2 linked regions of the Mus musculus genome follow. The protein of the gene in region 1 interacts with the protein of each later gene in a pairwise test. Links are inferred from orthologs where the notes say so. Each region holds a gene or a part of one and is shown in the gene's direction. Other genes may lie near its edges.

What was found. The genes of interacting proteins can lie anywhere in the genome.
Region 2: the proteins of Usp54 (region 1) and Atxn1l interact in binary tests that used the Homo sapiens proteins (3 or more experiments, as listed by UniProt). The link is inferred for Mus musculus from reciprocal best matches to the Homo sapiens genes USP54 and ATXN1L.

Annotation. Positions count from the first base shown.
Region 1 is NC_000080.6:20,561,219-20,568,852, reverse strand, and holds part of Usp54 (inactive ubiquitin carboxyl-terminal hydrolase 54), read left to right. Parts: intron 1-2,790; coding exon 2,791-2,910; intron 2,911-3,789; coding exon 3,790-3,985; intron 3,986-4,013; exon of another isoform or gene 4,014-4,072; intron 4,073-6,610; coding exon 6,611-7,634.
Region 2 is NC_000074.6:109,729,249-109,736,882, reverse strand, and holds part of Atxn1l (ataxin-1-like), read left to right. Parts: intron 1-1,357; 5' UTR 1,358-1,423; intron 1,424-1,519; 5' UTR 1,520-1,578; intron 1,579-3,104; exon of another isoform or gene 3,105-3,140; 5' UTR 3,141-3,254; coding exon 3,255-5,318; 3' UTR 5,319-7,634. UniProt on the Homo sapiens protein: Chromatin-binding factor that repress Notch signaling in the absence of Notch intracellular domain by acting as a CBF1 corepressor. Binds to the HEY promoter and might assist, along with NCOR2, RBPJ-mediated repression.

The DNA of each region.
Region 1 (7,634 bases):
TGCCCTGACCTCACACTTGCCAGGGTCTCCTGAGCCACCCCAGCCCCCACCCTCACCCCACTGCCCTGACCTCACACTTGCCAGGGTCTCTATGGCTGAGCCAGTCACCTGCCCCCTACTTTCTTTTGATTCAGGACAATTTTTGCCTTCTATTTCTCACGTTATTTGTTGTGCTTGTTTCAAAATGAATTTTAAAGCTTGGTGTGGTGGCACAGACCTTTAGTTCCAGCACGTAGAAGGTAAGGCAGAGCAAGATCTCTGAGTTCAAGGCTAGTCTGGTTTACAGGACTAGTTCCAGGGGAGCCAGCGAAGAGAAACCCTGTCTCAAAACCAAACCAATCAACCAAGCAAACAGACAAAACCAAAAAGAAAAGGGCTTTAAAATTTCAATTCCTCTTAGCTGTTTCTATATTCAGTAATCGATTTTTCATTTTGAACTCAAGTCTTAATAGTTTGATGTTCCAGTTTTATATTGTTCCGTGTTTGTATGTTTGTATGTGTACAGGTGCACATGTATGTTTGAGTGCATGTGGAAACCAGAGGGCATCCTTAGATGTTGTATACCTTTTTTTCTTCATTTCCTGGGACATGTTCTTTATTCTAAGTGAGTGGCCAGTCTGGTTGGCTAGGGAACGTCAGGGCACATGTATCCCTGCTACCCCAGTGCTGGGTACAAGTGGACACGCCTACCTGCCTTTATTCAGTGTACTTGGGAATGAAACTCAGGCCCTCATGCTTGCAAGACAAATGCTTCATCACTCCAGCTTCCTCCTCATCCATTTTACCTCCTCCCCCCCTTTTTTTTTTGGAGACCAGATTTCATCACTCTTGAGCCTTGGCTGACCCAGAGCTCGCTTTGTAGATCAGGTTGTCCTCACATGTATGGTGAGATGACAGGCATGCGCCACTATTCCTTAGTTTAAAGTTTATATTTCTACTGAAAGAGGGATCTTGTCATCTTTGACCTTGTCCTTTCCTTTCTCTCTTAGTGACACCATGCATTAGAGTTGAACAGGAATCCTGATCATTGTGTTTCATTATCAGTTTTTGATAAGCTCTGGTATAGCCTCATCAAAGAGAGTACAGCCTGGAGTGCAGAGATTCTAGATGATTAAGATTTAAATATGCTATACTACTCAGTAACTATAATTTGCCTAGATCTTTGTAAAGTTGAGAACTTTTACATGCCTGGGCCTCAGAAGTGCTGGGATTATATGTGTATACCTCCATGCCTAGCCCTTCTTTTCTTTCAAGCTACCACCTCTAATTCTAGATGTTTAGACTCAGTTGATTACAATCATAATGAAAGAACTTTGGGTTCAGGGCTGGGGGAAATCAGAGATGTAGAGATGGGATAGAAATTGACTACCAAGGTTTTCAGAACCAACCTACTTTCCACTGTCTTTGCTTTCTAAAAGCTAACTGCTGTAGAAATTGAATTTGTTATGGTTCTGACAGAGCCTTTCTTACCATTGACGTCTGTAGGTGAATGAGGATAAAGCAAGGGTGTTGTGATGAAGAAAAATAACTCAGGCAGTGGTGGCGCACGCCTTTAATCCCAGCACCTGGGAGGCAGAGGCAGGCGGATTTCTGAGTTCGAGGCCAGACTGGTCTACAGAGTGAGTTCCAGGACAGCCAGGGCTACACAGAGAAACCCTGTCTCTAAAATCCAAAAACAAAAACAAACAAACAAAAAACCCCCAAACCTTAGACTTTTTATCCCAGTCATTTTATTTCTTTTCTGTTGTTTTGAGATTTTGAGATACAATCTCATTATGTAGCCATGAAGTATCTGGCTTCTACCTTGCTGTATAGCTCAGGGATCCTCCTCCTTCCACCTCCAGAGTAATGGGGATAACAGGCATGTGCCGTCATACCTGGCTTGACATTTCAATCTTGCAGCCCCTGTGACCATGTGAAAGCTCAATGTCAATTCCATTTGTAAGTGAAGTAACTTTATAACTTCCTACCAGCTTATGTTAGAGATGACTAGAAGGTGAGGCTCTCTGATGGTCCTTCACAAAGTGTCTTTACTGTACATCTTAGTCCATTCATCTGTCACTGTTCCTGGACTCCTCTTTTGTATCTCCTTTGACCCATGTGCACTTTGGGAGTTGGGGGGAATACTCTATGTTGTTATATGAGAAGTGGATCATCATCCTTTTAGAGATGGATACTTTTGGTGAGTGAGGCATGATCAAGGTAAAAACTTTTCATTGCTAAAGAAAGGCCAGTCCATGTAACAACAAATGAAGTTCAATGCTATGGTAGATTTATTGAAGTAGAAACTGTAGACCACCTCAAGCCCAAGAAGTGTACTGACAGCAGCGTGGTGAAGAGGGAATTGAAGCTATATTAGAAGTGGCAAGGGTGATGTTCCACAGAATCGTAAGCCATGCTTACAGCATGTAAGCAGTAAGTCTGGGGTAGCTGACATTTGACAAGGTATGTCCTGGTATTTTGTGGTGGCAGTTCAGTTCTAGGCACGAGAGTTCTGTTGCTACTATGGACAACACTTTGTTCTTTCCTTGAAAGGAGGTATTAGAGCTGGGATAGTAGTATGGCAGTCATGGTATTCCCACCCCCACCTTTTCCTGGCCTTGGTTAGATTTCAGTTAAGGCAAAAATGGATTCCTTAGTTGTTCTAAAGCCTTCTTAATAGCAATGGGCAGGTAGATAAAAAGTAGACCAGAGGCTTAACAACAAGGATCTGTGTCCCAAAGAGAAGAAGCAGTACAGAGGAGAAGTTGGAATTAACTATAATAAAAATGAAAGTGCTGGCCCTTTCAGGGAGGAGTGACGGCTTTGAAAGGTCCTTGCAAGAGGCAAATTCAATATTTGAAGAGTCGCTGCATCTGGAACAAAAGGGAGACTGTGCTGCAGCTCTGGCTCTGTGTAACGAAGCTATCTGTAAGTAACTCAACTGCTACTGGCTATGGCGTTTCCCGACTAACTCCACAATAGGAACTAGTGTTGTCATGCAGATGGCCATAGGGACAGTTTTTAATGTCTCTTGTGTTCCCGGGGAGGCCAATTAGCTATCTTTCCCCTTCAGATTTCAAAATGTACCTTGTGGTGCCACTGTGGTCTGTGGACATTTACTGGAACAACCTCAACAGGAAACCACAGATGAATTCTAACCCAAATAGTTAGACTTCAGATATGAGGTTAGCCTACTCTTTCTCTAGTCCCTGACTAATGAGTAGGCCAACTGAAGAAACTGGCTCTGACTCCCTAGGTAGTAACTTTTCATTGTAATACTCTATTCTTTTTGTTCTTCTCCTGCCTTTCTGGTATGCAGTACCATACTGTAACAGCAAGGGGTTCAGGCTAAGAATTGGTACCTGACTCTTAAATATGACTCCATGAAGCTGTGCTCTGTAAAGACGGGTGCAGGTTTGGACCTTATTTTTTTGTCATTGGCCATCAGAAAGGGGGAACTGGGAGCAGAGTGTGGAGACCGGAGTCAAACAGGTCAGTGAGAAGACGAGAGTGGCAACCTCACGTGCTAGTTTATCTTCCTGCTCTTTAAGTTTTGTTTGATTTTCTTTAGTGTTTTGTTTGTTTAAGTTTTAATTAATGTGTTTGGTCTCCTGGCTTTCATGAATGTTTCCTGAGCCAGAGCTGGTTCTGCGCTCTTGACAGCGCATGCACAGTCCATGCCTTGCATTCCTGCTGCTACATATTTTGTTTTACCGCCTATCTTTGCTTAGTTTTAGTTTAGTTTTTGTTCTTTTATTTTTGTTTGTATTTTGTGTTGTTTCTGCTATATTTTCTTTTGCATTTTAGCTAAACTAAGACTTACCCTGCATGATGCCAGCTCTAGCACGCACAGCAGAGCCCTAGTCGATAAGAAGTTGCAAATCAGTATTCGAAAAGCACGAAGCCTTCAGGATCGCATGCAGCAACAAGCATCATCGCAGCAGCCGGTGCAGCCCTCAGCCTCTCTCCCATCACAGGGGGGCGCCCTCCCTCAGCCGACAAGGTAGTGCTTGAGAACCACATTAGCTTACGGATAGCAGGGGAGGCAGTGTCCATGGGTACGCCATAGCACGAACTCTTCTCTTCTTCACTACCAGGGAAAAGAGAAAAACCTTATATGACTAAGGTTCTCTTCTCTAAGGTCAGACACACAAAAGCTCATTTCACAGATGGTCCTTTCATTAATAATTCCTAGAAAGATGCAAATAAGTACAAAATAACAAGCTATCCAAATTTCCTGGATTTGTGTAGCAATATGATTATTATAGTTGTATTTATTATGTTCTTAAACATGGAATCTGATTGTACCCTTCATGTTGTTGTAGTAACTGTTTAATTTGGGATTTCAATATTTACCATCCTCACAGAGAAAATAACCAGTTTTTCTTACTTTGATTAAACCGTAGGGAAGAGACACAAAGATTTTCTTTGTTTGCTTCTCTAAGGTCAGGACAAGGAGAAAGTCCCAAGAGGTACTGGGATAGTTCCCACATTTTAGGGGTATAAATATAACTATAATAAAAGTAGATAACTTTTTCTCTCTGCGTGTGTGTGTGTGTGTGTGTGTGTGTGTGTTTTCCTGGGAATAAAATCCAGGAACTTGTATATACTATACTACTAGGCAAGCGTTCTACTAGTAAGCTACACGTTCTCTGCCTCGTTTGTTGGTCTTTTAACTATTAGCTTCATTATGCTTGTTAAAATTTTTGAACATTTGCCTGGGTTCAGGTCAGAGGCAAGCATTTTCTGTTTTATTTATTACCTGATGAGATAGTAGCTGCTATCGAGCATACGTTCTAAATAAGGAAGCTTGTAGAGAGGATAGTTAGTTAGCTAATAAGTGGTAGAAGTATAGAATTCAGATACAAATCCGTTTTACTGTCAATGTTGCATCCCTTCCCCCCCCCCCCCTTTTCTAGACTAACTAGGCTCTGCAATGCCTTGAACTCCTGATATTTCTTTTTGCCTCTGGAGTGCTAGTATTACAGGCCTGTTAAACACTACTCAGGTTTATTCAGTTCCGTGGATTGAACCCAAGGCATCCTGCATGTTGGGCCAGCACTCTACCAATTGAACTACATCACTAGGCCAAGTTTTGATTAAATTACCACAATCATGTTACAAGAGTGACTGGATGACTAAAGCTACAAACATTTGGGGTATACAGATTCATATTATCTAAAATGTCTTGAGACTAAAAGTAAGTCTCTATCTATCTGTCCCTGTCTATCTTTTATCCATCAGTCTCTGCCTTTCTTTGTCTCTCTGTCTTTGCTTCTCTCTGTCTCTGTCTTTCTGTCTCTCCCCCCTTCCCTTCCTTCCTTCCACTTCTTCCCCTCTGTCTTTTTCTCTTTATTTTTTGAGATATGGTTGCTTAGCTGGCCTGGGACTTGGTAGGTAGACTGTATAGGCCTCAGAACTCACTACAGTCTTCCTGCCCTTGGTTCCTAAATGCCAGGATTAGAGGTTTGCACTGCCGTACCCAGCTCAGATTTAATTTTTTTTTCTTCTTTCAGATTTTGGAACACTCATATAGACGGGTTGAATACCCTTAGCCCTAAAATCTGAAGCCTGAGATGCTTCAGGGTTCAAACTTATTCCATTATTGTGCCCATGCCTAAAACAGGTTGTGTTTCGAAGCACTCCAATTATGGATTTTCAGTTTCTTAGTTCTTTTTTTTTTTTTTTTGGTTTTTCGAGACAAGGTTTCTCTGTGTAGCCCTGGTTGTCCTGGAACTCACTCTTTAGACCAGGCTGGCCTGGAACTTAGAAATCTGCCTGCCTCTGCCTCCATAGTGCTGGGATTAAAGGCGTGTGCCACCACAACCGGCTGTTTCTTATTCTTATCTGAAAAGGAATTGAAAAGGTTGAAGTTTCCTCTCAGGATATATTTTTTTTTTTGTCATAAATATAAAACAGTGAGAATTATGAGAATTATATTCCCCCTCCTCACTGTTAAGAGAACCCTGTTCTGCCACTGTGATGAGACATTTGAGTGAAGCATGCAGTGATAGTTGATGTCTGTTTACCCAGGAGTCCAAATCACCTTGTGTTCTGTAGTCTTCTTCATTTTGTTGACTGAGCTACCCCATCGGACCCTAGGGTAGCACTTCTCTCTTTGTACAGCATCCAGGACTTTTGTTGTATAGTGTGAGTGGCTTTTAGACTTTGCCTTCTGTGGAAGAAGCAATTTTTATCTTTTGTTTGTTCTTTGAGACAGGGTTTCTCTGTAGCACTGGCTATCCTAGAACTCACTCTGTAGACCAGGCTGGCCTTGAACTCAGAGATCCACCTGCCTCTGTCTCCTGAGTAAATGAGTGTGCCACCACTACCTGGCAATTGTTATCTTTTTAAATTTGCAAGTAGAATGTGATTGGAATGGGACTTTGTGAGTAGTAAAGAATATTAGCAAACCCTGGACTTCATAACACATAGACAAATTGGATGGTACTCTCTTTTCTTTTGTGAACCTGTAATCTATTGGCTTTGTTTGTGTTTGTCTTTTTTATTCTGTTCATCATATCTGTGAATAGCTAGAAGTGGAATTGAATGAGTAGGGTTTTTTGGGGGGGGGGGAATTTATTGTTAGTCAAGGCACGGTGTGGCTGATTCTCTCCATTTGTTTCAGTGAACAGCCTATCACGCTCCAAGTATTGTTAAACCAGGAGGCACAGCTGGAACCTTGCAAGGATACAGAGCTTGGGGCCACTTCCTCTTTCTTCCACTCACCTGCTTCCTGCCCTGAGTTACACTCATCACTCATCCCAGAGTCACCTGTTTCATCTGTTTCACAGCACAGTCCCCCTGGGACATCTTCCTTGAAGCTTCTGACGTCTTTTGAGGTGGACAGCGTCAATCGCTCTGCATTCCACAGGCAGGGTTTACCTAAAGCAACAGGTAGAACTGAGATGAACTCTCAACATGAATGCCTGCCATTAGATGCCCTTGAAGATAGGCTCCAAGGCCACAGGGAGGACAACAGCTGTTGCAGCAAATTCCCACCACGAGAAGGAAGAGACATAGCTCAAGATCAGCTGTTTGAAGGAAAAAAGAATCCTGCTGATATATCCATGGGGATGCCTTGGTCATATTCAACAGGAGAAGCCACTTCTGAGAGAGTTATATATAGCCTAAATAGTCCTTCAAGTTCATCAGCTCAGCCTAGTATTCCCCCTTACAGTTCCTGCCACCCCATCACGTCTGCTGCTTCTTCACCTGTGCTTCATGCTGCTGACCCCATGCAGAAACTTAACCAACACGTTCAAGCCCAAAGTCTCCAGACTTCATTGACTTCAAAAGTGGTCAGAAGCAGTGAGGAGCCCTATAGGCTAGAGTTCCCCAGTACAAAAGGACTTGTCCGCTCATTGGCAGAGCAATTCCAGAAGATGCAGAATACTTCCACGAGAGATGTTATAGGTTCCCAGGATAGAAGTTTGCCAAATGGTGTCAGGAAGAGCTCTTCTCCTTCTGACTTTATGCCTCCATTATCCCAGGGTCCAGGAAGAGAGCACTGTCGCTGGGTAAAACAACCCCGTTCCCCCGATGGCAGGGAAAGACCGCCCTGCTGGGAAGACCCTGCAGCTCATCCTCCTCTTTCCATGGGCTCGGGGCTTCCTGATGGTGAAACCTCGAGGACAGCACAGCCCAGGCTG
Region 2 (7,634 bases), on another chromosome or scaffold:
CTCGGTGACCCATAGACGGATTTTCCTTAGCTTTTTTTTTTTTTTTAGCTACAGAGGGCAAGCATCATTTTGGGGGATTAAGAAAATGAAAGAAAGCTGAGTGCTTTCAATTAAACGTTTGATGAAGAATGAGTGCGTGACTTGTACCCACTTGGTGATTTATTTGTGGCATTAGGAATCTGTTTTTCCACATTTCCATCTTTCGTGTACCCTTGAACCATGCCTATCTTAAGTAAACGTTGCCTTCAGTTGGATCGAGCTTGCAATATTCTGACTTTGACAGAACAGGTTCCTCGGTACTAGTCAATACTGCTAATCCAGTTGTTAGGACTTCGTTGGCCCCGGTTTTGGTTTTGGTTGTTTTCTTTTGAGAGGGTCTTATGGAGCTCAGGCTGACTTCTGACTTGCTAAATAATCGAATGTAGTTGGTGAGTACCTTGAACTCACGATCCTCTTCTTTCTACCTCAAAGGTAGTAAGATTACAAAGTGTCCACTCCCATTTCCAATCTGTGAGGTGCTAGAGATGTAACCTCGGGCTGGATGCATGCTAGGCAGGCACTTTACCAACTGAGCTGCATCCGGAGCCTTGAAAGGCCATGTTCTTTAATTATTGATGTTTCTGGCAAGTGTGGATTCAGATATTGGTAGCTTAGTAATAGTTTTGTTCCCCTTTGTTAGCTTCATAGAATCAAAATGGCGTTTTCATTTTCTTTCACATTTCATTCAGTACTTAGTGTAAAGTCACGTATAAAATTGTGTGTGTGCGCGCGCACATACACACACACAGGAGCCCTTTTACTTTTACTCAGAAAATCTGTTAATATAGCTTTCACTTTGAGTAACTCCCCCTTGACCTCTTTCTCTGCCCCAGAAACATAAATAATTGTTCCTTTTCCTCTAGTGACAGCTTTCTTATTTGAATAATCTCTACATCTGTGTGTTCATGGGCCACTAATAAAGCAGAAACTCCCAGCTTCTCATTGCTCACATGCAGGCAGTATGAAGTCTCTCATCTTTATTTGTGCATTTAAGCAAAATTTGGACTGGAAATGAGCTTGCTCATTGGGGAGTGGGGTAGAGAATGAAGAATGAAGGATGGTAAAGAAACCACTGAAATCAACACATAGAAATTTCTTTCCAGGGATGTCTTACAAAAATGAAAGCATAAAGATTTTTTTCATTCTTGTTTTTTTTGTTTTTTGTTGTTGTTTTGGTCTTGTGTGTGACGGCCAGAGGCCAGCTTTTAGGAGTCCCTGCAGCTTAGGTCCCAGGAAGGGAACAGGTCTGGGCAGCAAGTGCATTTACCTACTGAGCCATCTCATTAGCCCTGGATTGTTTTTTTTTTTTTTCCTTCAGTTTCCTGGGCACTCGGGTATACGTGCTGTTACCACTGGGTTGAGAATGAAGCAAGAACTTAGGGAGGTCAGTGGTTTTTGGTGGCTTTGGAATTGCCTTTCAGGATGGCCCGGGGAAGGTGAGAGCTCTGCCTCCAGCTGACATCAGCCTTGTGTCTTCTAGGCTCCCAAACCAGAGGGGAGGACACGTACTGCAGCTGCTCAGCCCCACCAGACGCGCAGGTAATAGAGGCACTGTGGAGGCCTTGTTTCAGGAAAAAACAAAACAAAAAACCGTGGCACGTGACAGTGGAAAAACAGAATTCAGCCTGATTGGAAAAATTATTGCCAAAGTTCATATGCATTGAAGTGTTCATACAAAAAAGATGCTTTCTGATTTTTTTTAACCACCACCACCAAAAAAAAAAAAAAAAAAAAAACCAACACCCCAGGTTCTCATGTAGCCCAGGCTGGCCTCTATCTAATTCATTGTCTAACTAAGGGTGACCTCAAATTTCTAAACTCTTCTCTCAAGTGCCAGGACTATGTGCATGCACTATCATTGGGGTTCTAAAAAGATGCTTTTTGACAGTGGATAAAAGTGATTACAGAGCTGGGCAGTGGTGGCACACGCCTTTGATCCCAGCACTTGGGAGGCAAAGGCAGGCAGATTTCTGAGTTTGAGGCCAGCCAGGGCTACACAGAGAAACCCTGTCTCGAAACAAACAAACAAACAAACAAACAAACAAACAAAAAAAGTGATTATAAAAGCTGGGTGTGTTAGCACATGCCATTGATCCCAGCACTTGGGAGGCAGAGGCAGGAGGATGTCTACATTTGAAGCCAGCCTGGTTTCTAGAGTGACAGTTCCAGGACGGCCAGGGCTACACAGAAAAACCCTGTCTGAAAAAAAACAAACAAAAAACAAAAAAAGAAAAGGAAAAAAGGAGAGGTATAGAAAGTGACACTAAGGAAGGGAGAGAAGTAAACGTCCAAGTATGGAGACAGGGAATAGAATTGTGTGACTTAATACTCAGAGCAGAGCCACACTGGACAGGGAGGGAGGCACTGGCAGAAGAAACAAGAACAAAGAAGGCAAATGGAAGGTGATCAGTAAGAAGAAAGAAGTCTTTTAGACTAGAGGTCAGAGAGGGTGGAGGAGAAGCAAGCTCTAGAGCAAACTACCACAGTCACTCTTCTCACGGGGTCAAAGCTGGAATGTCAAGTTTCCTGGAACAACAACAAAAACACTCCAATTTATAATATGCTTAGGGAACAAGGTTTACAAACCTCAGCACTTAGTAACATGAATTCAGCCAGTCTTCGGTTGGATGGAGCAGGTGAGGTCATAACCCAAATTAAGCTGGGGAAAGGAAGCACGAATGAGATCATGCATTCAGGGAAAGAAGATGGCATGCTAGACTTTGATAGCAGAAGGAGACATTTAGGAAAGGGTCTGCAGCAAAGACTCATGCTCCCAGCTATGCTTCAGGGAGGAGACTGAGAAGAGGTAAGGGCCTCAGGAAAAGCATGACTAACCCAGCAGGTGGCCAGGAAGAGATGCTTCAGCCCTGGGCTCACTTAGGTTTCTTGGCTGTGCATCCTTGTAGCTCTTCCTGGTTTTCCTGCCTCTTGTCTTCCTGTGGTGGGCTGCTGGGTGAACAGGCAGCCTCGTCCTCTCTCCTCTCGCCCCTCAGTTGTGTGCTGCTCTCCTTAGGTCTTTGCTCCTGGGTGTAAGTCTTCATACTTTGTTTGACTTGATTCCCTAGGTTACTCTTCTCTGCCTCTGGTTTATTCCCTAGCAGATGTGGGCACCACAACCAGCAGCAGAGCGGGGTGCAGGGGAACCACAGAGAAGTCACTTCTGATGCCCGAAGGAGCGCGTAAACTCCATCCAGGCTCCGGGAACACAAAGCAATATGAAACCTGTTCATGAGCGGAGTCAGGAATGCCTTCCACCAAAGAAACGAGACCTCCCTGTGACCAGCGAGGATATGGGGAGAACTACCAGCTGCTCCACAAACCACACACCCTCCAGTGACGCTTCTGAATGGTCCCGAGGGGTTGTGGTGGCTGGGCAGAGCCAGACGGGAGCCAGAGTCAGCCTCGGGGGTGATGGAACTGAGGCCATCACTGGCCTGACAGTAGATCAGTATGGCATGCTGTACAAGGTGGCTGTGCCACCTGCCACCTTCTCACCAACTGGCCTGCCATCTGTTGTGAACATGAGCCCCTTACCCCCCACATTTAATGTAGCGTCTTCACTGATTCAACATCCGGGAATCCACTATCCCCCAGTCCACTATGCTCAGCTCCCATCCACCTCACTGCAGTTTATTGGGTCTCCATACAGCCTTCCTTATGCTGTGCCACCTAATTTCCTACCCAGTCCTCTCCTCTCTCCTTCTGCCAACCTTGCCACCACTCACCTTCCACACTTTGTGCCATATGCCTCTCTCCTCGCAGAAGAAGCTACTCCCCCTCCACAGGCCGCATCCCCAGCTCAGTCATTTAACAAGTCCTCATCTGCCACCTCCCCGCCCGGCCAGTTGCCACATCACTCGAATACTCAACCACTGGATCTTGCTCCAGGCCGGATGCCCATTTATTATCAAATGTCTAGGCTACCTGCTGGATATACCTTGCATGAAACTTCAACAGCAGGTGCCAGCCCCATTCTTACTCCTCAGGAGGGCCAGTCTGCTCTGGAAGCAGCTGCTGCCAATGGACAGAGACAACGAGAGCGAAATGTAAGACGCGAAAGTGAAGCCCTTGACTCCGCCAGCAGCAAGGGTGAAAGCCAAGGACTGGTGCCGGTGGTGGAATGCATGGCGGATGGACAGTTGTTTTCAGGTTCTCAGACTCCGAGAGTGGAGGTGGCGGCGCCAGCACATCGAGGGACCCCAGACACCGACCTAGAGGTCCAGCGGGTAGTTGGCGCTTTAGCTTCTCAGGACTATCGTGTGGTGGCAGCTCAGAGGAAAGATGAGCCCAGCCCTCTTAACCTATCCCATCATAACCTTGACCATCAGGGTGAGGGACGAGGGTCTGCCAGGAATCCTACAGAACTGGTGGAGAAAAGTCAGGCCCGTGTGTTCTACCCGCAGTCCCATCAGGAACCAGTAAAACACAGACCTTTACCCAAAGCAATGGTTGTAGCCAATGGCAACCTGGTGCCCACTGGAACTGACCCTAGCCTGCTGCCTGTGGGCTCAGAGATCCTGGTGGCATCAAGTCTGGACCTGCAGGCCAGAGCCACCTTCCCAGACAAGGAGCCAACGCCACCTCCCGTTACCTCTTCCCACCTGCCCTCCCATTTCATGAAAGGCGCCATCATTCAGCTGGCTACAGGGGAGCTGAAGCGGGTAGAGGACCTCCAGACCCAGGATTTTGTGCGAAGTGCGGAAGTGAGTGGGGGGCTGAAAATTGACTCTAGCACAGTCGTGGACATTCAGGAGAGCCAGTGGCCTGGATTTGTTATGCTGCATTTCGTGGTTGGTGAACAGCAGAGCAAAGTGAGCATTGAGGTGCCCCCTGAGCACCCTTTTTTTGTATATGGCCAGGGTTGGTCCTCCTGCAGCCCTGGGCGGACTGCACAACTCTTCTCTCTGCCCTGCCATCGGCTACAGGTGGGAGATGTCTGCATCTCTATCAGTTTACAGAGCTTGAACAGTAACTCAGTATCTCAGGCCAGCTGTGCTCCCCCAGGGCAGCTGGGTACACCCCGAGAAAGGCCTGAGAGGACAGTCTTGGGGCCCAGAGACCTATGTGACAGCGAGGGGAAGAACCAGCCTTCAGGAGAGGGTTCCCGGGTGGGAGAACCCTCCCAGCCTGAGCCTGGTGCTCAGGCCTGCTGGCCAGCCCCAAGCTTCCAAAGATTCAGCATGCAAGGGGAGGAGGCACGGGCTGCGATGCTCCGTCCCTCTTTCATTCCACAGGAGGTAAAGCTGTCCATCGAAGGGCGTTCCAATGCAGGAAAATGAACCTCTTTCCCAACCCAGGACTGGGGCTTTCTCCCCAGAGGTGAGCCTCTGTGAGCATCGAGAGGATTTGCACATGCCAAGCAGAGGGTGGCTCTCTTGGCAGTGAGATTTGGGGGAAACAGACATTAAGACAGCCTCCCAAAGCAGGGTGTGTTGCTCGTGACCCCATGGCACCCTCTCAGGACACCTTTAGAGGGTGCTGAGATGGGGACTTGCAGGCTTGGAGCAAGAAAGGGTAGGAGTGCACATAGGATAAGACACATTCCAAAATCAGGGCCTCCCTGTTTTTTCCTACTCATCCCTGGCTCCTACAAGGGAAAGTGCAGGCTTTGGGAGCAGGTGGCAGAGGGAGGAAGCAAAGAAAGAGCCAAATATGATGATCACAGCTTATAGTAGCAGTAAAACTGTTTTCTTTCTTTTTTCCTGTCTCCCTCCCGTCCTTTGTGGTGGGAGGGCAGGAGGCCCAATGGTTGAAAATAAGAGGGTTCCCGCCCAGAACTCTTCTTGTGAGAGATGTGCACTTTAAAGGGTGATTTTGTTACAGATGTTTATGGTGGGGTTGGGGGTTGGGGAGCACCATGATCTACGGGACTGTGCTTGGTCCTTTGCTTCTGCCCGTTCCCATCTCACCTCACCATTCCGCTATAAGGCTTTTTAGCATTTTAGGGCCAGGAGAGAGAGAGAGAGAGAGAAGCCCCTTCGGGTTTGAAAATGAAGGACTGCCTTGCCAGGAACCCAGTCGGGACTGTGGAGAAAAGATTTGACTGATAGATGTTGGGACTTAGGCAAAGCTTTTGAAAGGCCTCTAACCTAAACTCCCACCCAGCCTGTCAGGCCCGCTTTGATATTCATTCAGTCTGTAGTAGTAACTTCAGAAAGACCTGGAGGACCTTTCCCCTAGGCACCTACACTCCTCCATTGTCTGTCTATGTTGTGCCTTAGTGCCTGCACTGCCCCTACCCTTCTGCTGCCTGACCTCTGCATGGTGTCTTGACCTGGGCCTCATGTGTAGCTGCACTGCCTTTGTCCACTAAGACCTCTAGTTTTTGGTGTAAAAGGGTCCCTGGTTTCCCTATCAGCTATAATTTTTATATTTAGAAACTCAAAATCATGTCCTCTTCCACCGGCAGCAATATAGTGGAGAAACCAGAAAGAAACTGAGCCCTAGGCTGGGCATTCCCACTGCAGTGGACCTACTCGGCTTCCTCCCACTGCAATCCATTGCCTCTCAGCATTCCGGCCTAAGTTGCGCCCTCCCAGTATCAGCTCTGAAAGTCTAGGAATAGTCTTTGTAACATCTTAGCAGATGTGTCCTTGTATGCTGGTGGATTCTTCTAGAAAGTATTTTCTATCTTGGTTGTATTTGCTGCCATCTGTCTTATTCCCACATTTCCCTACAGCCCATAGTAGTGTCAGCGTGGACTGTAGGGCCCCATTGGGTATTAGGATTTAGGCTCCCCCACCCCCACCAACTTTAAAGTGGTTGAGTAATTTTTTTGTGAAGGTTTTTTGGGATGGGGTGGGGAGGGGTTCTTTAGACTCTTGAAGGCAACTCAGGGTATTGTCCACCCAGCTATGTAGTTAGACTTCTCCCAGGGAATGAGTGTGGCATTTCCTTCATAGATAGACCTGGCCTGTCACCAGGAGTCCTACACTTCTGAAGTATGAGCAAAGCTTAAGGTGAGTCTTGTGATATCTCTTTCACTTCCTCCCCAGCTGCCAAATGGGGATAAATAATCTTACCTACCTCCTGGGGGGGGGGGAGTTCTGAGAACGAAGTCATTCTTAGTGTTCAGGTGCTAAAGGTTGTTCTCTTTGGGAACAGAGTGACAAGAAACTGGCTAGTTTGCTATAAATCCTACATTCTGTTTGATACCTTGAGAGCAGATACCTGGTCAGCGAGCTTTTAGGGGGGGGCGTTCAAAGGAAGCTGTTTAGCCTGACCGCAAGTACTGAAGTCTCTGCTTTCTGTCAGAATCAACCACCGACCTTGTGCTGCATTGGAGATCACATCCTTTCCCTGTGTTGCCCCCATTTCTCTGCTGCTTCTCTGGCTTGTTTCCTACAGCGGGGGCCTGTGGGATTGAGTCTTGAGGAATTCTCTCAGATGAGAGCCATAGGAGATGGCCTCATCTCCTGACTGTTTCATGAACAACTCATTCCTAGGTGTTATTTGCATGTGTGGGTTTCTCACAAGGCTCCCTCCCTTCCTCAGAAGGTTCATCACGGAATTTCCTGACATGCACTGTAGATGCTACAAACATGTCTACCCAGGGTACCACTGAGCTACGTCTTCCTCATGGGGCAGACGTGATT